4 linked regions of the Tamandua tetradactyla genome follow. The protein of the gene in region 4 interacts with the protein of the main gene of each other region in a pairwise test. Links are inferred from orthologs where the notes say so. Each region holds a gene or a part of one and is shown on either strand. Other genes may lie near its edges.

Region 1 (7,288 bases), on a different chromosome or scaffold from region 4:
TTCTTTCACCACTTTTTTCACCTTGATAGTTTAAGGAGATGGGCTTCTGCAGCTGAGGAGGCTCCTTTGGTCCCAGAAAGGTTCTGTATTATTTTCGCCTCACTTGTCTATTTTATATTTTTGTATATCTGTTTAATGTTTGGCTTAAAAGAAGGCAGTTGGATTCTCATATCTGCTTCTGCATTCAATATACTGTTTTGGCTGATATAGATGTTTATAAAGAAAATCTGGTCTCCCAGTACCTGAGAGTAAGGTTAAGGATACAGTCCTCCAGACTGCCAAGTCCTCTCAAGACTTCTCACCCCAAGAGGAAGGAATTAACTACACAATTAAATCCAAAGCTTCCACTGTTCTCAGAAAGTGTTAACCTCCCAACATTAATGTGTAACAATATGCACAGAGTATTGCCAATCTTTCAACATTCAGTGCCCAGAGTCTGTATTGAGGCTTCACTATGTAAGTATGACTGACTGATGATCAACTATTTGGTCTCAGGGGTCCACTATAAAGAGCAATGCCCTCCTTTCTCTCTGGAAATTCCAAGGGTATAGAGATGATCTCCTAGGAGTGGGTGACAAATTCCAGACCTCTCTTCAAGCAAGGCAAAATTCTTTACTACACACTCACAGATATGTGGTTGGTAAGGAAGGAGCTTGTGAACAGTCTGAGATCTCAGGGACCTCCAGTGGTCCTCAGACCACACTGGAAACTGCTACTTTAGAGAAACTTTTCACATCTGAAATGATTTACATTACAGAATACACCTACAGGATTGTTTAAAATAGCTAGCAAACAAATGAACAACATAACCTAAAAACCTCAAAGCCCATCAAGATGCTATGTTACACAGAAGTATAAGTGAATAAATATCATATAAACATACATATACCGATATAGATGATTCTCAAAAACATAAGATAGAAAAAAAAAAAAAGCAAGCCACAAAGGAATATAAACATAAAAACAGAAAAAAAAAAGGAAAGGAATACATCTGTATGTGAAAAAATGATTTTAAAAAATGGGAATGATTAGCTGGAATACATCATGAATAAAAGAAAGGACTCTGGTGTGTTAGTTTGCAAGCTGCCAGATGTGATATATCAGAACTGGAACGGCTTTTAAAAAGGGGAATTTAATAAGTTACACGTTTAAAGTTCTAAGCCTATAAAATTGTCCAAACTAATACACCTAAGGTTACCTTCACTCAAGAAAGGCCCATGGGTCAGGAACACCTCTATCAACTTGGTAGGCACACAGCTGGCATATGCTTCTGGCCTCCACTGCCTTCAGCCTCTGTTCCTGTGGGGGTTCCTCACCTTGCTTCTCTGGGGCTGGCTTTCATCTCTTGGGTTCCCTTGGCTCTATCCAGGTTCTGGCTTAGTATCTCATGGCAATGTCTGCTGGGCTCCAAGCATCTCCAAACATCCGTGTCTCTGTTCTCCACGTGTCTATATCTGTCAGCTCTGCTGTGAAGTTTCTGTCAGCTATGAGGCTTCTGTCATTCTCCAGAATACCTCCTCTTTTAAAGGATTCCAATAAACTAGTCAAGACCCATCTGGGATGGGTGGAGTCACATATCCATCAAATCAAAGGTCACACCCACAATTGGGGGCATCACATCTCTCTGGAAATAATCTAATCAAAAGATTCCCCTAAAGAACTGAATCAGGATTAAAAGAAACAGCTGCTCCAACAAGATTGCATAAGGATTATAACGTGGCTTTTCTGGGGTACGTAATACTTTCAAACCAGCACACCTGGGTTCAAATTCAAGCTCTACCATTTACTAGTTATGTAAGTTTAATGCCAGCTTCATAAGGTAACAACCTTATGTGAAGATTAAATTAACTGATGTATGAAAAATGCTTAACTCTTTGTCTGCCAGTTAATACTATATAAGTATTAGGTATTATTGTAATCTCAAAATTTATGGTAGTGGTTGTGTATGTGTGAAGGAAGATACAAAAAGGGGCATGAAGGTAATCACTTTACTATTCTCTAAAATAAATCATATATATTTTCAATGTTGCTCAAAGTGACATGAGGGCACTGACTGTGGTTATTGGGAAAACAGAGAACCGAAATGAAAGACATTCTTTTGTGTTTCAACTCTATGCTGCCTGAACTTCTAATTTAGCATTAATTCCATCATGTCAATCATAATTGTTTTCCTGCTTTCTCCACTAGAGAGTGATACAGAGTAATCCCTCCATAAATGCTGTTTCTGCTACTCTTATTGCTACTGTTGCAGTAAATAAATACATAGAAAAACCAATTCAAACCTATCACCTACTTTCATGTTGATCATATTTGAAATGTAAGAGATATACAGTTACCCTGTAAAAATCCTTGCCTGGTAAAAGCATCTCCATTTATTATAGCTAGCTCTATCCTGATTTTATCACTTCCAAATACATATGAGTTTTTACTGCTCACAACCCTGAAGTCTGATAGGAGTAATCTGAGTTCACGTTGTAGCGTTATAAGGTCTTTTTTATGCCTTGTCTTAGATTATAATCAGCTGCTAAGCTAAAGTGCTCTTTTTAATACTGCAGGCCATGTTGGAAATGCAGCCTTATTTTAGGCGGACAGAGAAAAAAAATATCTAAGCAGGGCCATCTCTTACGCACGGAGAAATAGGTTAAATTGTGTTGAGATGTAGCTTCAAAATTAGACATTTTGATGTAGCACATCAAGTTAGTTGAGAAGATGGTTATAATTTGATTTGTAAAGGGTCCTAGATATTTTATTGTTCTCAATATTTAGAACCCAGTTAAATCTGAGCTTAGCACATTAAAATATGTCTTCTGTTACACACTCTTTTGGATTTCTGGAGTGCCTATCGTAAGGACTACAGGTTGAGCACATCCCAGCGCCACTACTCATCTTCGGAGTGCAGCTCAATTCCACATTTTAAAGGGTCTTTTCAACCTCAAAGTGCTATTTTAAGAGCACATCTTCTCCCAATTAAGTTTAATTAATCACATCTCATACTGAAAATCTCATCCATTTACAGAGAGACACCTCTTTCTAATTGTCTCATAGTTGTTTTATCTTCCCTTTTACTGACATTAATTTCTGAATAAACTCCAACTGTTTTTTAATCTCTGCTAACCTCTCTGAGGACTTATGATTACCCTCTTTCTGCCGAAACCCTGAAGGTTGCTTCTGGCCTCATTATCCCAAATCCTAAAGACAGCCATAGAAACCTGAAACTGAAGAAAGGCATGACTTCTCAAAGTGAATCTGCTCTTAGCATTCTTTAAACTTTCTCCCCCTTAACTTCTATGCCATTACTTGACCCTGATGTTTTTGGTCTTTTTCTCTCCCAGATTCTATATAAGGACCTTCAAAACCATACTTTTACCTACTTTTCCAATTCATCTCACAACACTACCTCCATATTACCTATGCTTATTCCAAGTTATTTCAAGTTTCCTGAAAGCACCTATTATTTTGGCTCCTATCCCCAAAATGCCTATGGTGCCTTTTTCTTCTTCCTATTCTATTCTTGCAAGAAGCACTTAAAATTCCTTCCCCATTCAACTCCATCTTCTCTTCAAGAAAACCTCATCTGTCTACCCAAACAATACTAGCCACTCTTGCCTAGATTAGTCCGGCATGACAATATTTTTCAAACTGTTCTGTGTAGTAATCATTTAATTATATGTTGTTTCTCTTCAGTGTTTTTCTCCTTCAGAGCAGCAGCTCTATATTCTTCATCTGTGTAATCTCAGCCTAATAATATGCCAGTAACTCACCACTGGCTGAATGAATAGAAAAGTCCTTTAACTTAATAAGCCTTGTCACACTTACTTCCCAACTATTCTCAACGGGACAGTTCCCAAACCACTAAGCATTAGACACTCTAATTCAACCAAGTGACTGAATTGGTGGCCCTTGTGGAGGCGAAAACAATATTTGGAATCATCAACCCATATCTGAAATTTTCAAAAAACGTACGTTTTTAAAACAACACAGAAAAGTACGTGGAAAAGGCATTTAAACGTTGCAGCCCTAATAATATGGTGGGATATGGGAAGCGCGCGCTTCTGGTCTGATCACGGAACAACATTACTGGGAAGACAGGAGGCAGGGAGTCTGCAGGCAAAAGAGTAAGCAAAAACGAGAATGCACGTGATAAACAACGGACTACTCAAAAGCTGTCTATTAAACCGACAAGCGCGCCTACCTGGTCTCCGCCAGTTTCCAAAAAGGGGCCGTTACCGCCACGTGACCAAAGCAGTTACGCTTTCTCAGGCCAGGGAGCCGGTACAGTTTTCCCAGCCGAGTCTAGGCAACATTCGGCAACCTGGACTGCTAGACCCACACGGGGGATGGGGGTGAAGTGGGGCGGGACGGAGGGAGTGGCGGACCAGTCCTGTTTCACTGGAAGCCAGAGGGTGCAGCTTCAACAGAGAAGCAGTGGAAGCAGGGCTAGCATTGGGCGATCTAGGTGCTCCTCCCCCGTGCCCGCTGTTCCTCAAGATGTGATGAGAGGGAGAGCCGAGAGAGCTCTAAAACATGAGGAAAAGGGAAGAGGCACTAAGAAGAACCGATCTGGAGCCTATCCGAACATCAATAGCTTCTTACCGAGAAATGAGAACCAGAAGTCGCAGAAACCGACGCCGCCGCCATTTTTCTCCTGCCCAGCAGGCCTCCGCAGCTCCGGAACGATCTGGGTTCCCGTGCTCTTCTTCAAGATATGTGAGCCGCCCACCAGGGGCGACCGCAAGCCCGGCCCCTGATGGAAGGGGCGAGGGTGCTGGTACCAGGTTTAGAACCCCCTGCCACACACCCCCACCGGGACGCCCAAACTCAGAGCACACGCCGACAGGGCAACACGTCCTGATGGACGGCTTGGATAGCCAATCAAAAAAGCGGACGCCTTCCTGTAGAGAATCCGCCTCTTCCCTCGCTGACGTCACAAGGTAGCGCGTAACTGAGACTGCCAGGAGCCGATAACACTGGGAGCTGCTAGACGGCTTGGGAGGCGACTTTGCAAAGGAAGGAGACTTCTCAAGGAGGAAACGTGGGCCAGGATTTGTGTTGTTGTCTCCGGTGGCAACTGAGTCGAATGATTGAAATAGAGTAAAAATGAATGCGAAGTTCAAACACGCCATCCCTTCTCTTGGGTTAGAAGCCGAAGAGAGCTTGATTTGGGGTGAACTCCTTTTGGCCAATAACAAACCGGACTAGGAGGGGCTTAATGGTTCGGTCCAATAGAAGTCAAATGAAAGAGAGAGGAGGCAGAGACCAAGCCTGTCAAGAACATTTGCCCAATTAGGTTGGGGAGCTCTCACCCAAACCTCGAACCGGCTACTAGAAATAGCTGCGACCCAGGCATAGGGCGGGACTGATTTAAAGCAGATTTCGCGCGCCGAGAACGTCGGGCTGTCATTGGCTAGCAGCTTCCTCCCTTTGTGGGCGCTCCTTGCGTAACCTGGGTGAGGGGTTGGGAGGAGCGACCGAGTGACGCGTAGGCTCCGTGACCAATCGGGGACGCGGAACGGAGGCCGAGAAGGAAGCGGATCGCGTCGCGCAGCTAAATCTTATCGAACTACCGCTTCGTCTCCCTCCGCCGCTACCGGGGCGTAAGCGGGAGAGGCTGGGACAGTCTTGCTTGGTGGGCTGGAGCGGAAGTGGAGGCGGAGGGAGACGGCAGCGTTGCCACAGGGGCCGGGGGACTCTCCGGAAGAGGCCCTGGTGGGCGCGAGGCAGGGGGAGGGGGGAGGAGGAGGAGCCCGTGGCCCGGGCGGCGGCGGTACCAGAGTCCGCCGTAGGGCTCCGCCTCGCAGCGGGCGGCGGTGGAGGAGGAGACTGAGGAGCAGGATGGCGGCGTCGGCCCTGTACGCCTGCACCAAGTGTACCCAGCGCTATCCCTTCGAGGAGCTTTCCCAGGGGCAGCAGCTTTGCAAGGTCTGTGGGCGCCGGGCAGCGGGCGGGCGGGGTTCCCTCGACCGCAATCCAGGGGAGCTGGGTGACTGGTGCACTGCAGCCCCGCGCTCTTCGGCGCTTTTGGGATTTAGGGGTCTGGAGCCTTCGCCTCCCACCCGGGATCCCTTTATCCGAGGGCCTGTACATCAGTCGAGAAGGACCCCTGAGAAAGAGCGACAGAATTCTACCTTCGTCCAGGAGGCCCAAGAGGGGCCGAGCCCCAGCAGCGTTTGGGGGTCTTAGGGGTGGGGCTGAGTAAGGCAGCCACCTGTCTATGCCGCAGAGACCCTGGGATGGAGATGTTTTCATCTCAATGTTCTGCCTGGTCTGTCTTCTCCTTCCACCAGGAGGCAGGGGACAGTTTTTGCACTTTCTTGCTAGGAATCCGAAGCCGCAAAGCTGATGGCATCCTTCTTCCCTGTCCAGGAAAGCGAAGCGACTGGCTTGGGAACAGAATGCTCTATGATTTGGAGCTCCTTCCATCCCATTAAAGCCAGGATGCTGTCTGTGAGCAACGGTGCAAAATAAGTAGTTTCACATTTGATCAGTTCTTGAAACAGGCCCTGACAGCTTTCTTAATTTATCTGTAACATACTCCCACATCTAATACAGACAAAGACGCCTATGCCTTCCCTAAGGAATTATATTGTAATTTGCCATTTATATGATTAATCCCCCAATTGGTTACATTAGTAGATAGGTTTTATTGATGATTGAGACATTTGACTAGGCCGGGTAATAGTTTTCTACCACAAAAGTGAGATTTGGGACGTTGAGATAGATGTTGACTAACGTGTTGTTTTATTACAGGAATGTCGAATTGCACATCCAATTGTAAAATGTACTTACTGCAGATCAGAATTTCAACAAGAGAGGTTTGTATATTTGTACAGTTTTTGATTGTTAAAGACAAAGCATTCTCTCTGAGGAATACTTGGGATATGGTAATTTTGCATGTAATAAATATTTTTAAGGGGTATAGCTTCTTAAATTTTATGTTGTAAACCTTTTATACATGGTGGGAGAGAGAATGTTGGCTAAAACAGTGGTTATTTTACAATTAGACTTCAGTTTACACAAAAGCAAATAAGGAATAAATTATTGCATTGAAAAATATACAGCTTTGCTATGAAGATGCAAATTTAAACAGTTTTTATAAGCTATTAAGAAAATGGTTAAACATTAGTTCTGACATGGATCTGAAGAAAGATCTGTAGCGTTAACCAGTACCTTCCTTCCAAGAGTGGAATCTAGTTACTTATTACCAGTAGAAGGACAGCAAATGCTTTTTAAGAGGGCAATTCCACTTTGAGAACACACAGAAGAAAATAGCTGAAAAGAAGAATAAATA
Region 2 (7,528 bases), about 28 Mb from region 4:
GACATGTCAAGTCTGCGGAGAGGGGTCAGGACATGGAAGAAGCGTGGCCGGGAAAAGGTGCATGTGTTGAAAGGCCAGAGGTGGTCCCCCCTGCACGCCACTTAGGGTTTTAGGTAAAAAATGTTGAAAAGATACCATGGGCCCAGTGAAGGAGGTCCTAGGCTGCTGTTCTTCCCCATGTTCCAAAGCATCCCTTTCTTGGCTATTTCCTCCAGCTGCATGTATAGTGGGAGGAATATGCACAGAGGAGCCAGCCTAGCCCAGTTCTGTCACTCACTAGCTGCATGAGGTTCCATACGTTACTTTGCCTCCCTGAGTCTGTTTCTTCATTTGCAAAATGGGATGTAGTGGTGATTTATCATATGAGACAATGTTTAAGGCATCCAGTGTTGTTGAACGTGAGTTGTTCCCTTTTGTAGTCCTTTAATCACCCTGGTCTTGGCCTAAGTTCTACAAAGTCTCTGCAGACAACTCATGGGGTGAGCCAGTTCTTGGGAAGAAAGGGAAGATTACCTCCCACTTCCTGCACATTATATTCCTGCTTACATATTCTGATGTCCTGCTTGCTTTTTTAGGCTCTAAGTGCTATCTTGCTGACTCACTTCCGACTTCTCCTTCATCATGCTCAGCTCCTGAAAATGGAACGGAATGGAAAGGGCCGGATATTGTACTGTCTGATGATGTGTTTAAAGGGAATTGGGTGGCAGGCATACCAGCTGTATGTGGATGGAATACTTGGGGACATGAAACCAGCAGTGCCCAAAGCGTATTTCTCATATGACACTTAGGACACTTCGCCTTGGATTTTAATGCTAATAATAATCATTCCACTTTCTGCCACTGATGAGATACCAGGCAGGTCCTGGATTATGTGCTTTCCATGCATTGTCTCTTTGAATCATCACAACAACTAAAGGCAGCAGGGATCTCTCTATTTTATGGACAAGGAAATTCAGGCTAAAATAGTTTAAGGAACGTTTCCAAGGTCACACAGCTGGTGAGAAGCACAGCAGGGATTCAAACCCCTGATCTAGATCTGTGCTGTCTAATGTGGTAGCTACTAGCCAAGTGAGGCCAACAAGCACTTGAAATGTGGCTAGCGGGAGTGAGAAAACTGAATTTTTAGTTGAATTGAGGTATAAGAGCAATATATACACCAAATTTCAAAGATTTAGCACTCAAAAAGAGAGAAAAAGAATGTAAAATATCTTTTTTTTCAAGATAACCTGTTGAAATGACAATATGTAAATGTATTAGGTTAAATGAAATTTATTATCAAAATAATTCTGGTGCTCACTTCGGCAGCACATATACTAAAATTGGAATGATACAGAGAAGATTAGCATGGCCCCTGCACAAGGATGATACTCAAATTCATGAAGCGTTCCATATTTTTCTATGTAAAAAAAAAAAAAATTCTGTTTCTTTTTACGTTTTTTTATTTGACTGTTAGAACATTTAAAATTTCATATGTGGGGCGGGCCGCGGTGGCTCAGCGGGCAAGAGTGCTTGCCTGCCGTGCCGGAGGACCCCGGTTCGATTCCCGGCCCCAGCCCATGTAAAAACAAACAAACAAACAAAATATAATAAAACAAGAAAATGTTTAAAAATGTTTCCCTTCCTTCCTTCTCTGTCTTTCCTTCCTTTCCTCCCTCTCTCTTAAAAAAAAAAAAAAAAAAAAAAAAAAAAAAAAAAAATTTCATATGTGGCTTTCATTATATTTCTATCAGACAATGCTGATCAGAGCTGTGAACATTAAATGGTCACTAGACCAACAATTTTCAATATTTTTAATAATATTTTTTGAGCACAACTCTGCAATATATATACATATATTTATTTATAAGTTATCTACATTTACTTTACTCAGTATACTAGGTACAGCATAAAATACTAACAAAACAGAGCTTTTAAAAAGATGAAATATAAAGTAAATACAAATAGAAGTACAATTTTCTTCCTGGAACCTAACGGATCACTGTGCACCTCTTGGAGTGTGCACACATCATTTTGGAAATTCTTGCACTAGATTTAGAGCTCCTGGAGGGCAGAAACTTTATCACATGTACCTTCCCTCCCTAGTCATTGACCCTCGCATCATGCCAAGATATAATTATGTTTGTGAACAGAATAAATAATTCTTAATGTGTAGCTGTTTTCTGATGAATTAGATTAATTTATTTCACATGTGTTGAGCAATTTCTATGTGCAAGGTACTATACTAGGTACAGAAAAGAAAACAAAGTTTAAGAAGATTCAGTTCTTCTTAACTTTTTCATGTGTAAGAATCACCTGGAGGACTTGTTAAAATACAGATTCCTGGGCCCTAGCTCCAGAGATTCTGATTGACTAAGTCTGGGGTGGAACCCAAGAATTTGCATTTCTGAAAAGCTTCTGGGAAGCTGTATTCTGGTGGAGCCTCATGAGCAAAAGGCCTGGAGGAATGGGAAAAGCACCCCAAGCATTGCATGAGGATGGAGAAAGAAAGGGAATTAGCATATTCTGAAGTTTTAATATTTGTCAAACATTTAAAAATGTATCATTTCATTTAATCCTCACCTCATCTTGATGAGACGCATATTATTATCTTCATTTTCAGTTGAGGAAATTGAGACTCAGAAAGGTTAGTTAAATTGTCTAGTAAATGGCAGAGATAGAATTTGCATGCCTTCTTCACCCAATAACACGTGTAAATCTTTGGTAAGCATCATTCTTCTTTTTCAGGCACTTTTCTAGGAATTGGGGATGCAACATTAAGTGAGGCAGATAGTCAGCTCTTGGTCCTTGGTAACTTCAATAAGCAATTAGAATATCGCGTTTTCAGTGCCGTGAGGCCAGCAGTACCATGGAGATATATAACAGAACACATACTGTAGGACAGGGTTGCAGAAAACTCCCAAGAAAGATAGTGAAAGAGCCTTGAAGGATGAGTGAAAGTTGGGGGAGTGGGGGATGGGTGGAAAGTGTCTGGGCTGAAGATATACATGAAGGCTTGGAGGAAGCAAAGCATGAGAATGTGAAGTGTAGAAGGTGAAAGTGAGAGATAAGGCTGTAGAGGTAGGTGGGAACCAGATAGGGTTGGACCAGTTAGGTTTATTGATTTACCTTTACTTCAAAGTAGTGGGAAGTCTTTGAAGGGTTTCAATTAGAAGAATGGCATAGTTAGACTTGCATTGTTAAAAGAATACTATTCCCCCAATGAAGAACGGATTAGAGGAGAGTTAGTCTGTAGGCAGGGAGATGAGTTAAAGATGCTACTGGTGTATATTTGGGTAACGATGGGGGGACTGGAGAGAAGTGGGGAGGTAGAAGTGTTTAAGACTTGATGATTGATTGGAAGGACAAGGGTAGAAAGGGAAAGAAAGAATCAAGGATGACCTTCAGGTTTCTGACTGTGCGGTTTTTGTAGGGATAACGTCTGTAACCTTATTATTTCACATTTTAATAATGTGAAATATTATTAAACATTCTTCTTTAAAAGAAGAAATGATTCAGATAATTATGGTTACGTGAAAGAAAGATATTTTAGTAAGAGTTCAATGAACGGAATTTACTTGACTTAGAATATATGAGGGAAAAATTACTATCCTTTAGTTAAGTTTCGTTTTTTGTTTTGGTTAAATTTGTATCAGTAGCCTTATTGTTTATGGAAAGTGGAGTTCTGAATGCTGGAGATAACGCCACTTTTTTTCAATTAGGATTAGCCATGGAGGACTAGCCATAGGCTAGTAACTATCAATTTACTGAATTTCTGCCGTAACTGTCTTGTTGAGTAAACCTGAACCTTGGATTTCTAAAGCTCAATATCAACCTTGCGCCTTAAAAAGGAGTAGTAAATAGTTTTGTCAATGGACTAGCAATAATTTGAACTCCGCCTTCCTCACCTCGGCTCCGCCCCATAAATCTTTAGACCACACCCCTTTCAATTGGCCCCGCCCCTTGAAGAGGTCTTCGCGGAGATGACAGCGAATTCTCTACAATCCTGCCCTATAGGAAACCTGAAGGGCGGGACCGAGATCAATCTTTTTTTCCATTTGTCAAACCAAGTGTCTATCTGGCCTCAGCCCCAACCCACTTCATCTTCAACCCAAGGATTGGTTGCTCTCTTCTTTATCCCCGGCTTATGATTGGTTCTTTCATTCCGCCCCTCTTTTCTGGCTTTTGCAGGCGGGATTACCACGCAGCTTCCTGCTCCTGCCAAAAAAAATAAAAGAAGAAAAAGAAAAGAGGAGAGAGGCGAAAGAAAATGTCACAGAGGTCTTTGGTTTTCAATTCGCTTCCAACCTTGTCGGTCAGGCCAAACCTTGCCTTTTGATTGGTCTTTTTATCTGCCCATCCCGGATCTGGGGCGGGATTTCCCCAGGAGACCCACACCTTACTGCCACTGGCCGAACGGTGCGCCTGTCTGAAGCTCCTGGCCCAGGATTGGCAGCGGACCCGGACAGGTGGGCGTGGATTGGCTAAGGCAGCCGGTCAGTGTGAGGTGTGGGCGGGGCCTCGGCGGCTGGTTGCGCGTGTCCGCCGCTGGCTCGGCTCTATCCGGCTTTGCTAGGGGAGGTGAGTCCGGCCGCGGCGGCACCGGCGGCTGAGGAGGCGGCGGCTGAGGAGAAAGCGGCCGCGGCGGCTGTGGAGAAAGCGGCCGCAGGGACGGAAGCCGGGTGGGGGGGAGGGGGGGAGACGGAGCAGCCTTGAGCCCTGCGGGGGCCGTTGCGCGGGGGGACCCACCCGCTCTCCCCCCCAACCCTCCTCAGCAGTAGCAGCCGGCGGCGGCGGGGGCAGGAGTCAGCCGGCTTCCTACTGCACCCCGCCCGCCTCCCGGGGCTCCTTTTCTTTGGCCCCGGGACCCTAACCTCATCCCGGGGCGGTTCCCTCTGTCTGGGCGTCCGAGTGTTGCCCATCTCTACTCTTTCATCCTCGCTGCACCACCTTACCCTCACTTTGCCCGGATTCTCTTTCTCCTCTCTGCGCCTGGCTTGTCGCTCCTCGCCTCACTCTATCCCTCCTGCCTCCTTCTCTGGCTCATTCTGCCCAGGAAAGTTTAGAACCCTCTCCCGACCCCCCACCAAGTCAACCTGACTAGGAGTATGGGGAGATGTAGGAAGGCCTGAGAGTTCGAGGTGGGGGGGAAGCTGGTTTCCCTGAAAATTTCCCCCCGTCTTTTTAATTTGGGGTGGTTGGAATTTTTTTTTTAATTGTGTTTTTGAGGAGGTGGTAGGTGTTCAGAAAAGGATGTGGGAATGGAAGGGGTAGATGATTCAACCCTTTTACAAGATTCTAAGGGTAGTGTGTTACCTGATCCTTTTCGTGTGTGGAATTCAGGGGGTTGGGAGGTTTGGCCTTTATTCCCACATTCAAAATTGGAACCCCCCCCAAATTAAGAATGGAGTTTTAGTACCCACCTGTGGCAGGAATCCTGGGGGGAAGGGGTCCTTTTTTCCTTTTTCTTTTCTTTTTCCTTTTTTTTTTTTTTTTTTGGCAACTCACACCGTTCCACACACACTCAGAAATTAAACACCAAGATCCTCTAACTTGTTTGGATTGACTGATGAAGACATAAAGCCAGTTACGCTCTATGTTTTTTGAAGTGGAGTGAGTGGTTTTCTTCATTTTTAAATGGCCAAATGACAGCTTGACCCAGTTTGCTTTCCAATCAAAGAGCATTTTTTTGAATGTCTCTTTGTGGCACAAGAGCCAACGCAAAAATGATGGCGGCTTATAATGGCGGTACATCTGCAGCAGCAGCAGGTCACCACCACCATCACCACCACCTTCCACACCTCCCTCCTCCTCACCTTCACCACCACCACCACCCTCAACACCATCTCCATCCGGGGTCGGCTGCTGCTGTACACCCTGTACAACAGCATACCTCTTCGGCAGCTGCGGCAGCCGCAGCAGCGGCCGCAGCTGCAGCCATGTTAAACCCGGGGCAACAACAACCATATTTCCCATCACCGGCACCGGGTCAGGCTCCTGGACCAGCTGCAGCAGCCCCAGCTCAGGTACAGGCTGCCGCAGCTGCTACAGTTAAGGCGCACCATCATCAGCACTCGCATCACCCACAACAGCAGCTGGATATTGAGCCGGATAGACCTATTGGATATGGAGCCTTTGGTGTTGTCTGGTGAGTATCGAAAGAAACCCAACTTCTCATGGTTTCTTCTCATGGTTGTGATTGGGCAAATCAGCCCTCATGGTTTTCTCCATGTTGACCAAAGTGGAGCAAGCTTCTCAACTCACCTGTAGAAAGCCACCCGCAGTTATATGGTAAAGAGGCCTAATGTGTTGGCTATCCAGGCTTATGCGTTTGAAGCATGGCAAATTTTGGTCAAGCACCCACTGATGAGTAACGCACATAAGTTTGCTATCTATTGAACTTTTCTATTTAGAACACAAGCAAGCCACCACGTGTAGGATCAATAGAAATATGAAATTCTTATTCCTAGAAAGACCTTTGTCATCTCTCATATGTTTGATTTAGTTTGGAGCCATTACACTGGGCTCCAAACAATTGTCACAACTGACTTGAACTCTATTCCTTATTATAGTCTTGTCATCTGGATATGCTTTGCATAATTACTTTCCTTATCCTTTCAGTCATTTCACTCCTTAGTTTGTGAACTTGATTCACCCCCACCTCCGCCCCCTAGAAGGAAGGTAGAATTCCTTGTTGAACCAGTTAGGATCGTTGCTTGAGAGGTTTATTTTAAACCATACAGATACAGTTGGGAAGCATGTAGCTTTAGCCTTTTGATAAGAATGCATTAAATATAGCACTATACATGAGTACCACAAATGAGGTCAGTAGACTGTAGCTGTGCAGTGGCCCACATTCTCTATAATGTTTTAATGCCATTTAGTGTCTCTTAAATTGCTGTTATCCTTTGATCTGTTGAAGTTGTGTAGTGGGAAGTATACTTTTTAAACAAATGAATTTGCTGTATTTTCATTGATGCTATGATATTTTTAAAAGTCTGAGGGCTTCTTAAATGTAGCATTTTGGTCATTTTTAGCAAGATTAGTTTATAAAAAATGTATTTATCAATGTAGGGTCCTATTCCTATCAAAACATTTAGAGAGAACTGAGGGTTTTTTCAGGGATTAAGTAGTCCAGTGTGGATAGATGAATTGTTTTTAGAGCATTCAAAAATAGATTCTTGTTAAGGTCTAGTTAAGCTGTCATCAGCACAGGAAAATGAACTCTTTGGAACTAGCCCTATAAATGTCTCCTTTTGTCATTGTTTTTAAGGCTGTAATTGATCTGAGTATCATTTTTGCATTATGTTTAGCCATCCTTATTTATAGTTCAGATTTTATAACCTAGGCTATTAATTGATATGATCCATCTTTTTAAACTAGTGGAGTCCAGTATTTTACCCTCAAGCTCTCCAAGGAGGTTGCTGCAGCAGTGCTCCCTTTTCCAAGGTATGCGGGATTCCTAGTGGGAAGTAGAGTGTAGCCCGTATCCGTGCCTCTTCAGTGGCTCTGCTCAGGGGCTTGCCTGTTCCTGTCTTCCTCTCGTCTCTTC
Region 3 (7,098 bases), on a different chromosome or scaffold from region 4:
CCCATGTCAAAGTCTGAAATATGTTCCACAACTAATTGTGGTGCTGTGCTTTGAAATTTATAGCTTTTTTGTATATATGTTATTTTTCATAAAAAAAGAAGGAAAAAAAAGTCGATTGTGATGATGAAAAAAGTATTTAAGCCCCCTAGCCTCCTATATTCTGGAGCAGCTAGAAGGAAAAATCTGAGAGGATCGTATGGTAGCCCATGACAAACTCTGGGATCTGTCCTGTAACCACTTGTTGAAGAGTGCTTTGAAAACGACTGCTTTTTTTTTCTTTGCTTTCTATGTATGTTATACTATACAACAGAAAAACTGTGTTATCAAAGAATTTTTAATGACATGGGAAAATGCTCACATATCACATTTTTAAAAATTAAAGTAGGTTGCCATACTTTATAGCATTTAATTCTATGTAAAAAAGGAAAAGAAAAAAGTACATACAACTTGAATTCAAATTTCTGTTGCTTCACTACTAAGGTAACCGAACAGTAACTGAACTTCTCTTAACTTCTACATCTGTAAAACAGGAATACCTAATATCCTGGGTTGCTGGGAAGATCAAACAAAAATATAAAAGCACTCTGAAAATATTAAAGCACTATGGAAATGCCTACTGTCACATTAAACTATCTATGATTTTCTCATGTTTAGATGCTTAAAATTTCCATTTTCCAATTAAGTACATAATGCCCAATATTTTAAGGACATAAACCTGAAATGGGGTTGTCCTCTTTAGGATATCTGTAACTGTGTTCTCTCCATCTTCACTGATAACTCAATATACATAGTGCAATGTTTGAGGAAAACATTCAGAGAAAGACTGACCAGGTTCAAATCCTGGCTAATAATGTCAAGTCTTCATCAGTAAAATAGCTACTGCTCAATAGTTATTTCTTTATGATTACAGGTGCTCTGATTAATTATTCAGCAAATGGACATAAATATCCTACAGACCTGCTGGAGTTTTCATAAATTATAAACATCTGCTGAGATGACTTAAGCAAAGAAAAAATGTCAATTCATACCAAATTTGAAATTGAGAAGGTATGCTTTTTAAAGCTTTTTAAGTGATTGCATTACCACAAGTACTCTTTAATATTTGTAAATGCTTTCATTTTCACAAAAACAGCAGATATTTGTTCCTCCCTCCTATGCCAAGTTGCCCAGGTACTCATTTAAACTAATCTCTATGGGAAGCAGTATAGTCCTTTCAGTTATTTCAAGTATAGACAAGCAGCAAGAATACATCTAACTGGTTTTTACATGTAAACTTTTACCCGTGTATATTTTAAAGACTTTAAAATATGAAGCATAAAAACAAAAACGTGAAGCACACAACAAACAAAACAGTTTATTTCAGATGATGGTTAAGTCCAAAATGTTTATTAAAGGCAGGTCCACACAAGCCCTGTTCATTTCTAAAGGCCATCACTCATGTCCTCCATAATTTGCTGCCTTAAGATTGTGTGTGTGTGTGTGTGTGTGTGTGTGTGTGTGTGTGTGTGTATGCAGAAAAGTATTGGCTGAATTAGAATCCAGGTTTCATCATTTCCTTCTGTTTGACAATTTCTAATGTAAGCCTGAGACGCCCAAAGAGCTGTCTTGAACTTCATCCTGTCCGTAAAGGGTGGTCAACCAGAACAGAGCAACTTTCACCCCTCCCCATTTTCAACAAAGGCAACTCCCCTATCTCATCGCAGTCTCCATTATAAAAGCACAAAATACAACTTGCCTCTGACTCAAACTCAGCCAGCAAAATTTTACTGTATTAAGGTCAAAAAGCATTTACCACCAGTGAATTCCACGCACGCACGCTACTCTCTACTGAAAAACAACAGGCTTCCCACTCACTCATTGAGTGCTTCCTGCATGCCAAGCCAAGTACTAAGCATTTTACTTGATCTCATTTGATCCTGGCAACAGCTCCACGAGGGAGGTACAATTCTCAACCACTTTCCCGTTGAGGAAACTGAGGCTTAAGTGAAGCCCACCCTAGGGTCACCCAGCCATGAAGGGGGCTGAACTGAGGATGCCACAGGCGATCTGACCACCTAAGTTCCCATCTTAACCTTTACAGCTGAAGGCTGTCCTTGAGGACACTACAGTGTGATGTGCATTACCACGGTCGCCCATGGGCACACCTGTCAGCATTTACCTGTGAGCACTCATACGGTTCAGTGTCTAACTCCAGAAAAACGTTTTCTGTGCATCCCGATGGATCTCCTTTTGTGGACTCTCAAGGGCAAGAAGCACGTGTGCGCCAACCCGGAACCGACTGACAAAAGCAGCTCCTGAAACACGAATTCCCCGTCTATGGCAACGACGAATTTGGAAATGCTAGCGCTGCCTGCCTGTGACAAACTTTAAACACTAATTCTAAAAGAAAGGCTAAACACCCTAAGGAAGCCAAGCCCTACTATAACGCGGTGCCAAAGAGAAAGACTTGAGTTGGCAGGACCCGGCGGGCGGCGCACAAAGGAGCCGAGCCCGCCGGTGGGTCCCTCGCGCGGCGGCCGCGCCCCGGGCCCGGGTCTCCGCGCAGCCCCCGGCCCCGCCCGCAGCGAGCGCCTCGGGAAAGCTGAGTCACCGCGCCCGGCGGGGGCGGCCAGGCCAGCGCGCTGGGGGCCCGGCCGGGCCGGGGGTCGACCCTCTCGGCCCCGCCGCACCCTCCAGAGCGGGGCACGCCCAAGCCTCGGGCCTGGCAGCTCTGGACAGCCCGGGGAGCCCGGGGAGCCCGGGGAGCCCGCGGGGCCGGGCGGAACCGACCGACGCCCGGGCGAGCGGGGCGTGAAGGCGCCGGCATGGCCGCTCTCCTCCCTCAGTGCCCAAGGCCCGCCGGCCCCGCGGCCCGTACCCGCGGCCCGCGCCCAGCTCCTGCCTCTCGCGGCCCGCTTACTTGGCTTTGAGGCGCAGCAGCTCCTCAAACTGCCCGGCTGAACCGACCTCCACCACAGCCGCCGCCGCCGCCGCCTCGGCCGCCCCCGCCGCCATGCTGCCGCCGCCAGACTGGAGCAACCGAGCGCGGGCGGGTCGATGGGGGCGGGGCCGGGGGCGGGGCGGGGCGGCCGCGCGCCGGCAAAGCTCCGCCTCCCCGGCCACGCCCCCACAGCGGGGCTGGGCTATTGCGAAACCTGATCCGCCGGGCCTGCAGCGCACAGCCAGAGCCAGCCGGGTTCCAGCGGCCGAGATCCGCGCGCTGTGCTCGAGACTGTCGGGGATCCTGACCCCTGGGAAGGTCCTGACTCCCGGGGATCCTGACTCCTGATCTCTGGGAGTCCTGACTCAGGAATCTTAATTGATTGGAGAGTCCCACCTGCTTAAGACCTCACCCCACCAGCCTCCTGCTGGCAGCTCCTACAGCTTCAGGTTCCGAGCTTTGAAAACCAGGCCCGAGGGCAGAGGAAGGATTTGTGTGTGCAGGTGCGTGAAGTCAGGCTGTGCACTTACAAGCTGAAATCTTTAAAGTTTAGCGTAAAGATTGGCATGAACTGGGAAGGCTGAGAACACAATGCTGCCCAGTCTCCAAACCTCACCTAAAGGACGCCTCCCACGAACCCTACGTGGAGACCGCGTTCCACCCCCCTCACACACACACACACACACTCCCAGCTGGACCCAAAGGGACTGTGACCAGAGAGCAGCAGGACCTGGGACTCCACCAACCTAGCTTCCAGGACCCCCTTAGCACCTCCAATCAGGCCCCCAAGCTCCCAGACCCCTCTTGCCTCGGGCCTTCCCTGGCGACCCTTGCTCTCCTTCGCATCCCCCTAAAGTCGACTCTTCTGAGGGTGTCCTTTGCCTTCCCCCACACTCTCTCCTACCTGGTCATCTTGTCGGTGCCCCTACTGACTTAAATGTCTGGGGAAGGCTCGGCTGCAAGTCCAGAGCTCTCTCCTGCCCTCATCTTCTCCAGACTCTCCTCCCATAGTTCCCATCGCAAGGGGTGCTACACCAGGAATTTGGGGCTTCTCTTAAAAGTCCTCCTGCACCGTCCTTGAGAAAGTGTCCACACAGCCTTCCCTACCTGTCCCTACTGCTCCCTGTGTGAAGAACGTGCTCCCCTTCACCAGTGCTCCCACTGAGGGCAGGAATTGTCTTTATCCCATGCCTGGGCTAGAGCACAGTAGATGTCAGTACGGGGCAGAGAGCAGGGCTCATCGGCAGTATTACAACCCAGAGAGTGGACAGGGACAGCCTCCACAAGCCACACTCTCAGGTGAGCCACATGCTGGGAGGAGCTGGCAGAGGGAATTCGCCCCAGGGGCCTTGTGCTGCTCTGCCACTTCTGTGCCAATCCCCTGCGTGCTGCCCTGCACATCTCTCGGTGGCCTGGGAGGGTGAGCACAGGTATCCTTGAGAGAGAGGAGCAGAATACAAAATTCTTTTTACAAAGAAATTTTCCTTTTAAATATGGACTGAGCATAAAGCATTTTCCAGGGTGGGAGAGAAAAAATTAATCTGGAAGAATTAAGAGGAGGCAGAAGGATTTGTACAGGTTGGTGTGATGCTCTGATACATACCAGAGTTTATTTTGGCCAGAAAATAAAAAAATATTTGCAAATCCCCTTGGGGGACTGGGGAGAAAGGAGGAAATATTAAACTTCCCCATCTGGGGAATTCCCGACATTCTCACTAACAATAGGGACAACCAATTCAACAGGCCGAGCATTTAATTTGGGGGCTCAACCTTATGAAGCTTATTCCTGCAAAGGATAGGCTAAGCCTACAAATAATTATGCCTAAGAGTCACAACTAGAGAGCCTCTTTTGTTGCTCAGATGTGGTCTCTTCTCTAAGCCAATTCCACAGTTGAACTCACTGCCCTCCCCCCTCTAAGTGGAACATGACTCCCAGGGATGTAAATCTCCCTGACAACGTGGGACAGAACTCCCGGGATGAGCCAGCATCATGGGATTGAGAAAGCCTCTTGACCAAAAGTGGGCACAAAATAAAACTTCAGTGGCTGAGAGAATTCAAACAGAGCTGAGAGGTTATCCTGGAGGGTATTCTTATGCATTATATACATATCCCTTTTTAGTTTGTGGTGTATTGGAGTAGCTGGAGGGAAGTACCTAGGACTGTTGAACTGTATTCCAGCAGCCTTGATACTTGAACGTGATTGTTTAACTATAAAGCTTTTACAGTGCATCCATGTGATTGTGAAAACCTTGTGGCTGACACTCCCTTTATCCAGGGTATGGACAGATGATCAAAAAAATAAGATCAAAACAGAAATAAAAATGGTGGGGAGAGAATGGGCAACAGTGGCTCAGTGGCAGAGTTCTAGCCTGCTGTGCCAGAGACCGGGGTTCTCTGGCAGTGCCTGCCCATGCGAGAAAAAAAAAATCATGGGGGAGATAAGAGGTTAAAAAAATTGGATGGATTGCAATACTAGCGCCCAATGAAGAGAGGTAAGGGTACAGAATATATGGATTTTTTTCTTTTTTCTTTTTATTTCTCTTTCTGGAGTGATGCAAATGTTCTAAAAATGATCACAATGATGAATACACAACTATGTGATGATATTGATTGTATATTTTCCATGGCTTGACCTTGATAAAAATATTTTTCTAAAAAAGCAATACATAATCTTTAAAAAAAACAGAAGAGGAGGCAGACAGAAAAGAGAATTGTGAGTGTGTAAACTGGAAAAAAACAGAAGCACTCACAGCAGGCAGCTAAGAGCCGTGCAGTCCAGTGTGGCTCTATCCATTGTGGCAGCTCCATGCCTCCGAGAGCTGGTATGTGGCTGGCCTGAATTTCAATGTGCCGTAAGTATAAAATGCACAAAAAAGAGCACAAAATATCTCATTAATATTTTTTATATTGTTGGCATGTTGAAATGATAATATTGGGTTGAAACGCTATATTGGGTTACATAAAATACATAAACTAAACCTGCTGCTTTTTACTTTTTTTAATGAGATTCTTAGAAAATTTAAAATTACATAGGTGGCTTTCGTTTGCAGATCACTTTTTATTCTCGTTGGACAGTGCTTCTCTAATGGTTTAAAAGCAACCTATAGGAGCCACATTACAGACACACCTCACTCTGAGAAGCAGATGCCACTGAGAATGGTAAATTACATTACTGAAAATGTGGGACAGAGGTGGGAGTCCAGGTGGGTACACAAGCCTACCTGTGATAAAATGGCGTAGAACTAAACACACACACACAAATGAACATCAACAGGACTGAGGCCATCCGAATAAGATAGGTAGATTGTATCAATGTCATTACAATGTCACTGACTGTGAGACAGTGCTACACTGGGGAAAACTTTTGTGTGTACACAGTGTCACTCCACATTACTTCTTACAACTCCAGTTGTGAATCTACAATTATCTCAAAACTAAATGTTTAATTTAAAAAATACATAAAAGCCTTAGTGATTATTATAAAAATGCAATAGGAGGGGGGAACAGCATATGGTAAAATAGTATGTGTATCTGAGAATCATTTTTAAACATGGAATTATATGTAGACAAAATATGTAAAGATAGGTGTGTGTAGCATAGAAAAAACTTTCAGAAGGATGTGTCCCCAAATATTAGAACTTGCCCCCAGAGACTAGAAGTTGGGGAGTTTGAAGGATGGCCCTTTACTTTTTACATTAAACACTTTTGTGTCGTTTGCATTTTTCAAAGAACATGGACTAGCTTTGTAATTTTTTAAGATAATGAAACTGTAATACACCAGGGAAATGTGCAATAGTGAATAGTTTTCAAAAAACGCAAGTAATTGCCCCCCTAATGTGGCTGTTTTATAAATCTTGATTTTTCCTTTAAATGGAATTTGCTGCAAGTGGTATACGCTAGCTGCAGAGCATGCTCCCTTCAACAAAAATGCCCCCAGAAAATGCCTGGAAAACATTTCCAGTCCCCCTCCTGCCCTTTCTTGCAGTTATCATGATTGAGATCAGCAAGCCTAGGGGGCAGCAGATGGCCTGTTCCCTCTAAAATGCTCTGACTTCAGCAGCAAAGACTACTCAGTAGCTCAGCACTGAACTCAAGCCACGTTTTGGGGAGAGTGCTGAATCTGAGTTACAGGTATCTACAGGTACGTACAGGTGTATATGCAGGAGCATAAATGGGT
Region 4 (7,727 bases):
GAGTCTCAGCTCATTCTAGGATTTCTGTCCCACGTTGCCAGGAAGGTCCACACCCCTGGGAGTCATGTCCCATGTAGACAGGGGGAGGGTGGTGAGTTTGCTTGTTATGTTGGCTGGAGAGAGAGGCCACATCTGAGCAACAAAAGAGGCTCTCTTGGGGGTGACTCTTAGGCCTAAATTTTAAGTAGACTTGACCTGTCCTTTGTGGGGTTAAGTTTCATATGAACAAACCGCAAGGCTGGGGGCTCAGCCTATAGCTTTGGTTGTCCACACTGCTTGTGAGAATATCAAGAATTCAACCTGGGGAAGTTGAATCTCTCCCCGTTCCCACCATTCCCCGAAGGGGATCTGGAGGTTATTCTCACATGTTAAATAGATATCACCTTGCTAGTCAAGATGTAGTGGAGAGGCTGGAGGGAACTGCCTGAAAATGTAGCGCTGTGTTCCAGTAGTCATGTTTCTTGAAGATGTTTGTATAATGATATAGCTTTCACAATGTGACTGTGTGATTGTGAAAACCTTGTGTCTGATGCTCCTTTTATCTACCTTATCAACAGACGAGTAAAACATACGGAATAAAAATAAATAATAGGGGGAACAAACGTTAAAATAAATTTAGTAGATTGAAATGCTAGTGATCAATGAAAGGGAGAGGTAAGGGGTATGGGATGTATGAATTTTTTTCTGTTTTCTTTTTATTTCTTTTTCTGAATTGATGCAAATGTTCTAAGAAATGATCACGATGATGAATATCCAACTGTGTGATGATATTGTGAATTACTGATTATATATGTAGAATAGAATGATCATAAAATATTTGTGTTTGGGCGGGCCATGGTGGCTCATCAGGCAGACTTCTCACCTGCCACACCAGAGACCTGGGTTCGATTTCCGGTGCCTGCCCATGCCAAAAAAAAAAAAAAAGAAAAAAGAATATTTGCATTTGTTTGTTGTACATTTTTTAAAAATTTAAAAATTAATTTAAAAAAAAGCTGAAAAAAAAATCCCCATAAAGCAAGAGACATGGGGACCAGGCTCCACGACTGTCCGTCCATCTCTGACACCCAAAGAGACCAGTGGAGGGTCAGGGGCACGCTGCCCACCTTGGGGTCAGGCTGAAGGCCAGGGCATCAGGGAAGGAGGTGAGGTGACAGCCAGCATGGGCAATGGGGGAGAACCTGTCTGTGGGGACTTCGAGCAGTGAGTTATTTCCATGTAAGCAAACCTGGAGGGGAAGGTATCAAACCACCAGGCTGGACAGGGGCGAGGCTATGCTGGGAAAATGAAAGGAGTCCCCAAAACAACAAGGGCTGGTTGGTGCAAGGGAATCAGAAAGGAAGGACTCAGGAAGGGGCACACTGGGACGGGAGCTTTGGCATTAAATCCCTTCGTGACCCTGGAAATTTGCCTCTTCAGTCTTCCTGGTCACAAAATAATATCCCATTTCTAGAAGCAAAAGGCACCTCACCTGGACCTGTGAACTGGTAGATGTAATTGTTTTAGCCAAACTTCCGTCTCCCTAGTTTTAACCTTTCCCTTCAATTCCTGAGTAAGGTGATAACTCTCTGGAGGTGTTTGCAATTAAATAGGAATGTATTGAATTATAACAGTAAAACATCTGGAATGGTTTTCCCTGAGTCTTTACATTTGGACATTTAATTTAGGGTCAACTTTTCCTGATCTTTGACCACCTCTGGCTTCCTTTCAGGCTGGCTCTCTGAAGCCCTGAGAGCACTCAGGGTATATATGTGTTTCGGGGGGTGGGGGGGCAAGAGGTATGATTATTGTATTAGTTGGGGTTCTCTGGAGAAACAGAATCAACAGGGAATACTCGCAAATATAAAATTTATAAAAGTGTCTCACGTGACCGCGAGAATGCAGAGTCCAAAATCCACAGGGCAGGCTGTGAAGCTGACGATTCCAGTGGAGGGTCTGGACGAACTCCACAGGAGAGGCTCACCAACTGGAGGAGGAAGAGAGCCTGTCTCTTCTGAATCCTCCTTAAAAGGCTTCAGTGATTAGATTAAGCATCACTCATTGCAGAAGACACTCCCCTTTGGCTGATTACAAATGGAATCAGCTGTGGATGCAGCTGACATGATCATGATTTACTTCTATGAAATGTTCTCATTGCAACAGACAGGCCAGCACTTGCCTGACCAATCATACAGGTACCACCACCTGGCCAAGTTGACACATGAATCTGACCATGACAATTAGAGTAGAGGGGATCCGTTAGAGTCTCATCTTAAACCTCTTTGGTGAATAAACCTCATTCATTCTCGCCCAGATTTCAAAAATGAAGTGGAGGCTTTTGCACTACTTTGCATGCCAAGAGCAGCGTTGTCGGCACTCTGCCTAGCACACAGCAAGCCTTCAGAAATGTCAGCCACTGACACCACCACCACCTGTGTCATTTCACTACCCTTTTTCTCTGTCATTGTTCTTTACTCCCATCATTTGTCTCTACCTCCGGATCCAGTACCCATGCTGGCCGTGGCTTTTTTCTTCTTCACTGTCAAAATGAGGCCTGACTTTATCCTGAGCCTCTCTATAGAGATTAACAATAAATTACAAGAAATTAAAAAAAAAAAGCAAAAGACAGATGAGGTTCTTGAATTCAAGGTTTAAGAACCCCGGAGGTCTTCTGGAAGGAGGTGGTAGAAATTCCACAGTCCTTGGAGGCAACTGCCCTCTCCAGGGAAGGGTTGGTTGTTTTCAGTCATTTGGGCAGGGCTGTTGAGTAATCAGGCTGTTTAGTAAGCAATTACTGTCTAAGTAGAGTAATTGCTTATGATTTAAACTTTCCTGAATGCTCAGTCTCATGCCTCTGACCACTCACTGTTGCCCACAAAAAAGGGATGTGCTGAAGGCCTTTTGGGTTGTGCAGGCTTGCTTTTAAGTTGTTCGATCTGTGGTTTGCAGTTTTCCCTCTAAGGCTTTTAATCCTTGCCAAACACAAAGTGACTGCCCCTAGAAACTTCCACACACACAGCCCCCAATCTATCGATAATTTGCTGTTGCTGAGGAATCAGATAACTACGTTTATTAAAAGCACATGAAACAAGAGATTAGATGCTCTATATGTGGAACACTTTAGGGCTCTTATGGAGAAAGTTTGGGACCCTCCAGAGCAGGGTCTCTCAACCTCAACGCCACTGACATTTTGGACCTGAAGTTCTGTGCTGTGTGGGTGCTTCTGTGCATAGGGAGATGTTTAGCAGGTTCCCTGGCTCCTCCCCACTAATACCAGTAGCATCTCCTTCCCCAATTGTTACAGACAACCCGAAACGACTCCAGACATTGCCCTATGTCTCTGGAGGACAAAATTGCCCCTGGTTGTGAACCATGTCTTTAATTAGACTTTGTGATGCTATTTTCAGTCGTTTTTTTTTAATTTGCCTGTATTTTTGTGGATTTTTTTGGTTCTGTGTAGTTGTGATTAAAGGACTTATATATTAATTTGTCTAACATTTCATAAAGTCATGTGTGTGTGTGTGTGTGTGTTCAGTAAAAGCATAAGCAGGGGGATGGAATAGTCCTAGATTATCAGCAGGAACCTTGTCCACTTTTGGGATCCTTCCTAGTTCCAGGCTAAGAACCGCCACCCAATTCCACAGTGCTGCCCCTCCTTCCCTACCCAGACTCCTATCACTACTGAGTTTGGTTATTTGTCCCTCTACCCCAGCCTCACCTTCGGCTCAAGTCATTTCCTCAGCTTGCCGGCCCTTCACCCACTCTGGGAGACCAGGTCCCAGCACCCTCCCTGGATGGCTCCTCTCTGCTGGCCAGCCTCCCATCACCCACCCGGGCCTTTTGGCGTGGGGCGATTCTGGCTCCTGTGGCCTGTCAATCCACTGTGTGTGGTAAGTTGTCTCCCCTCACCTGCCAGTCAGTTCCTAGACAGGAAGACCAGCTTCCACTAGGTCGGCCCCAGACCCCAGCCCAGCCTGCGCAGGTAGCCAGAAGCGACTCAAGCTCACTTCGCTGCACGTGGCATTCAATCCCTGCCCGTGGCTGCCCTTCCCATCTAGTTTTCTGATACTTTTCCGAACATCCTTTTTCCAGCCGACTCTCCAGCCCCTCAGTACTCCCAGAGCCAGCTTAAGGTGTTCCCTGGTGGGATTAATCCACGCCCCCAAGCCCAGGTACTACTCACCCCCTACACACATCTATAGCATCTGGCACACGACCTTGCCTTAATTTAGTCTGAGCCTGTCTCCCCTTCCCCAGGCTGGGGGCACCTCGGGGAAAGGGACGGGGGCTAGGGGCGTATTATTCTTGTCCTTACAACCCTCCCTCAACCCCCCTTTGGATCTGACGGCCTAGCATTTAATCCAAGTGTGCTGGATGGAACAGGGTGGAACAGAATAGGGTAGAAAGGGGCTGCACACACGTCACATCCTATGAACACCCGGGATCGCGCCCTCTGTCATGTCCCCTGACACCGGCGGCCGCGCGAGGGACAAACTCCGGCGGAGACCGCAAGGCAGGCACAGGCAGCGGGCTGGGGCGTCATGTGATTCTCCAATCACATGATGCCTAAGAATAAGGGTGCGGAGAGAGAGGAAGTGGGAGGGAGGAGAGTGACTTGGGCAGGAAAGATACACAGCATTCCAGTCTGGCCCCGCCTCCACGTCGACAAGTGACCAATGGGAGCGCGGCAGCGGCCCCCTGGCCTATGGGGACGGAGGTGGGCGGGGCAGAGGCGCCGCAAGTCCAAGAGCGGCGGGGCTGAGGCCGCTCAGGCAGCGCCGACTCCGAGGCCGAGTGGGAGGCCGCCCGCGCAGACCCCTCGCTTGCTCCTGCCTGGGGGCCCGGCCGCGGACGGTGAGCTGGAGGCTCCTCTGGAGTCTCAGACGGGAGACAAGAGGAGACTCGCTTATAGAAACTGCTGGGGGGGTTCTCCTGCACTGGAGGGAGTTCTGTAGGCGAGGGAGCGAGCTGTCACTACAGTGACCCGCCCCCTTAGAAGGGTCCCCTCTCCAGGATTCCCGGAAACTGCAGCCCCTTCCCCGAAAGCAGAGACCGACCAGCCCGTTCTTGAGCCAGCTTCACCCCCTGTTAGCAGGTGCCGGCTCCTTCCTCTCCTGGTGGGGGTGGGGGTGGGGGGCGGGGGGCGTTCCCGCGACTTCTTGGAGAGGGGAAGCGCCTGCCGCTCGTCCCGGAGCTCGGAGGGGTTGGGAGGGGGAATTGAAGCTCAGGCCTCCTCGAAGGTGGAAGGGATCTGGAGTGGCGAGAGAGCCCCGAGGTGGTGCCTGGCGCTTCCTTACTTCCTGTCGTGGGGGGAGAATGTGGGAGGCGGGACGAGCTAGCTTCTCTCTCTTCCTGTCACTTTTTCCTGCTCAGTTGCTGCTGGGTTGGCCCACCTTTAGGGAATCTCCCTCAGCCCCGGTACTCGGAGTTGGGGGTGCCTCCTAGTGGAAGATGATGGTACTGGGGGCTGGAAGAAGCTTCTGTCCTCTCTGTTGTGGTAGTGTGGGGTGTGGTGAGAAAGGCTGCCACTCAGAACCTGGTGAAGAGGAACCAGAGGGAAATTGAGCCTCTTGGTCCTGCATGCCTCGCTGTGTGCGTGTGCTTGCGCACGCATGTATGAGTACATTTTCGATAGAAGCATACACCATACTTCCTAACCTCAGGATGCACAGGAAGGAAAATATACATAAATAAGTCATGGAGGCCTAGATGGGTGTGGACAGGCACCCTTGTGGCCTAAACCAAGAGCAGAGCCTGCTGTGTGGTGAGGTTGGACCCACCACCAACACCCACCCAAGAAACAGATGAGTCAGAGGCAGATGCTTAGGTGGTGGAGAGAGAGAAAGGGACAGTGGGCCCAAGATTAGACGTCATCATCCTTTTCGGGCTAGGAGATGACTTCTTGGGAATGTTCTTTGAGTTGAGAGAGGGACACCTGAGGAAAGCCAGGTAAAGGGGAAAGAAGATTTAAGGGACTTGGTGGAATTTCCCAACCTCCTTCCCTTTGCCTCCCACTCAGTGCTGCCACACATAGACCATGGGGACCCTGCCCAGGGACAGGGAGCAACTTTTGAAGCTCTCACAGTTGGTTAGTGGCCAATTCTAGGACCAGGACCCAAATGCAGTTTCCACATTGTACCCCCTGTTTCCACCCTGCCTGGTTCACCTGCCCAGAAAATCTTTTTGTTCCCCTCCCTCTGCTTGGACCCAGGTGCTCTGTCCTTCTGGGGGTTCGTGTCTATTCTGGGGCACTGGCCAGGGTGCCACTTATGAAATAAATCCAGGTCCAGTGTGTTCTGCAGCCATCAAGCCTGTCATCACCATGATTTGTTATATGACATGGGCGTGTTACTTGACATCTCTGAGGCTCCATTTCTGCCTTTGAGAAGTAAAGATAATTACTACTTTGGGTGGTTGTTGCAAAGAAGAAATAAAATGACCAGTGCTGTCACTGGCCACCAAGAGGCTCAACACACCTTCCTGTCTGCTCCTCTAGGCCCAGTAACAAGCCCCAGGCCTGCCCTGTTGAACTCACAGGGCTGCTGAGCTTGGGGGAAGTGCTGTTGGGAAGTGAGAGTCTATACCCCTCAGGGACATGAGGGTCGGTTCCTCCTGCTGCCTCAGATTGGCAGACAGGTGGGCAGGGAGGCCCTGGCAGGGCACATATGCTCTCTCTGTGCTTGTGGCTGAGTTTTGGCCCCGAAGGTTTGGGGAGAGGTAGGGCAGGGGATTGTTATGTCTGGGGAGTCTGATAGGGCGCTGATGGTGTTCGGGGGGGTCCCTCAGAGAACAGAAGTCTCGGAGGTTGACCCAGGCTGTGGGAAGAAGGGGACAGTGGTGGGCAGGCAGTGGCTGGCCTCTGGAGAAGGTAGCTCCGGCCCCACAAGCCACCACACTTCCTTTCTCACAACTTTCCCCACACTGTGGTTTCCCACATCACCCTGTGATGACTCCCACACAGGCACAGCAGGTGTGAGCACAACGGGGGGGGGGGGGGCGAGCGGGCACTGGACGGCATTGGCTGGGGAAGGGGAGGCCTGGCTTTACCTCAGGGAAGGTGGGAGCTCCCTCCCTCCAGCGCTGCTCTCTCCCAGGGTTACTGCACCCCTCCGCCCCCCAGTGGCCCATGTCCCCAGAGATCAGACCGCCAAACCCCACATGCCTTCCTCACTGGCACCTGTGATTGTGATTGCGAACCACCCACAGAGACGCAGGTGTCAGGCCATGGGTCGGGGACACAGTATATGTATATTCATACTGACATGGCCAGGAGATGACTTCTTGGGGATGTTCTTTGAGTTGAAAGAGGGCTCCTCCAGGAGACATGGTGGGAACTGAGTCTCAGGCTCCATATCTTTCTTCCATCCTGGACAGTGAGTTGTTGGGGATGTTCAGGCAGGCCTGTGGGTGAGTGAATCAGTGCTCAGAATCGACAGCGGCATGGGCTTAAATCGGTTGCCAATTTTTGTGAACAGACAATGTGGACCCTGGTGAGCTGGTTGGCCTTGATGGCAGGGCTAGTGGCTGGAACACAGTGCCCTGACGGTAAGCTCTGCCCTGTGGCCTGCTGCCTGGCTGCAGGAGGAGACCGCTACAGCTGCTGCAGTCCCATAGTGGTGAGTGCCCCACACCCAGGCAAAAGCTGGCAGCCTGGATTTTCCCAAAGGGTCGTCCTGGAAAAGGAGGAGGCCAGGCAGTCTTTCAAATTAACCTCTCCCCTTTCTTCCCAGGACGAACAGTCCTCTCTGCTC

Evidence for each region.
Region 1: the proteins of GRN (region 4) and FAM76B interact in binary tests that used the Homo sapiens proteins (3 or more experiments, as listed by UniProt). The link is inferred for Tamandua tetradactyla from reciprocal best matches to the Homo sapiens genes GRN and FAM76B.
Region 2: the proteins of GRN (region 4) and NLK interact in binary tests that used the Homo sapiens proteins (3 or more experiments, as listed by UniProt). The two-hybrid records come from large-scale screens. The link is inferred for Tamandua tetradactyla from reciprocal best matches to the Homo sapiens genes GRN and NLK.
Region 3: the proteins of GRN (region 4) and GLRX3 interact in binary tests that used the Homo sapiens proteins (3 or more experiments, as listed by UniProt). The link is inferred for Tamandua tetradactyla from reciprocal best matches to the Homo sapiens genes GRN and GLRX3.

What each region holds. Positions count from the first base shown.
Region 1 is NC_135334.1:47,133,426-47,140,713, forward strand, and holds the start of FAM76B (protein FAM76B), read left to right. Parts: upstream 1-4,274; 5' UTR 4,275-4,593; coding exon of another isoform or gene 4,594-4,638; 5' UTR 4,639-5,832; coding exon 5,833-5,919; intron 5,920-6,747; coding exon 6,748-6,812; intron 6,813-7,288. Other genes in the region: CEP57 (centrosomal protein of 57 kDa), read right to left, coding at 4,594-4,638. UniProt on the Homo sapiens protein: Negatively regulates the NF-kappa-B-mediated inflammatory pathway by preventing the translocation of HNRNPA2B1 from the nucleus to the cytoplasm.
Region 2 is NC_135332.1:51,201,582-51,209,109, forward strand, and holds the start of NLK (serine/threonine-protein kinase NLK), read left to right. Parts: upstream 1-4,517; 5' UTR 4,518-5,669; coding exon 5,670-6,124; intron 6,125-7,359; coding exon 7,360-7,425; intron 7,426-7,528. UniProt on the Homo sapiens protein: Serine/threonine-protein kinase that regulates a number of transcription factors with key roles in cell fate determination. Positive effector of the non-canonical Wnt signaling pathway, acting downstream of WNT5A, MAP3K7/TAK1 and HIPK2.
Region 3 is NC_135339.1:92,763,235-92,770,332, reverse strand, and holds the start of GLRX3 (glutaredoxin-3), read right to left. Parts: upstream 3,008-7,098; 5' UTR 2,995-3,007; coding exon 2,900-2,994; intron 1-2,899. UniProt on the Homo sapiens protein: Together with BOLA2, acts as a cytosolic iron-sulfur (Fe-S) cluster assembly factor that facilitates [2Fe-2S] cluster insertion into a subset of cytosolic proteins.
Region 4 is NC_135332.1:23,122,695-23,130,421, reverse strand, and holds the start of GRN (progranulin), read left to right. Parts: upstream 1-4,717; 5' UTR 4,718-4,830; intron 4,831-4,989; 5' UTR 4,990-5,071; intron 5,072-7,115; exon of another isoform or gene 7,116-7,377; intron 7,378-7,451; 5' UTR 7,452-7,454; coding exon 7,455-7,592; intron 7,593-7,706; coding exon 7,707-7,727. UniProt on the Homo sapiens protein: Secreted protein that acts as a key regulator of lysosomal function and as a growth factor involved in inflammation, wound healing and cell proliferation. Regulates protein trafficking to lysosomes, and also the activity of lysosomal enzymes.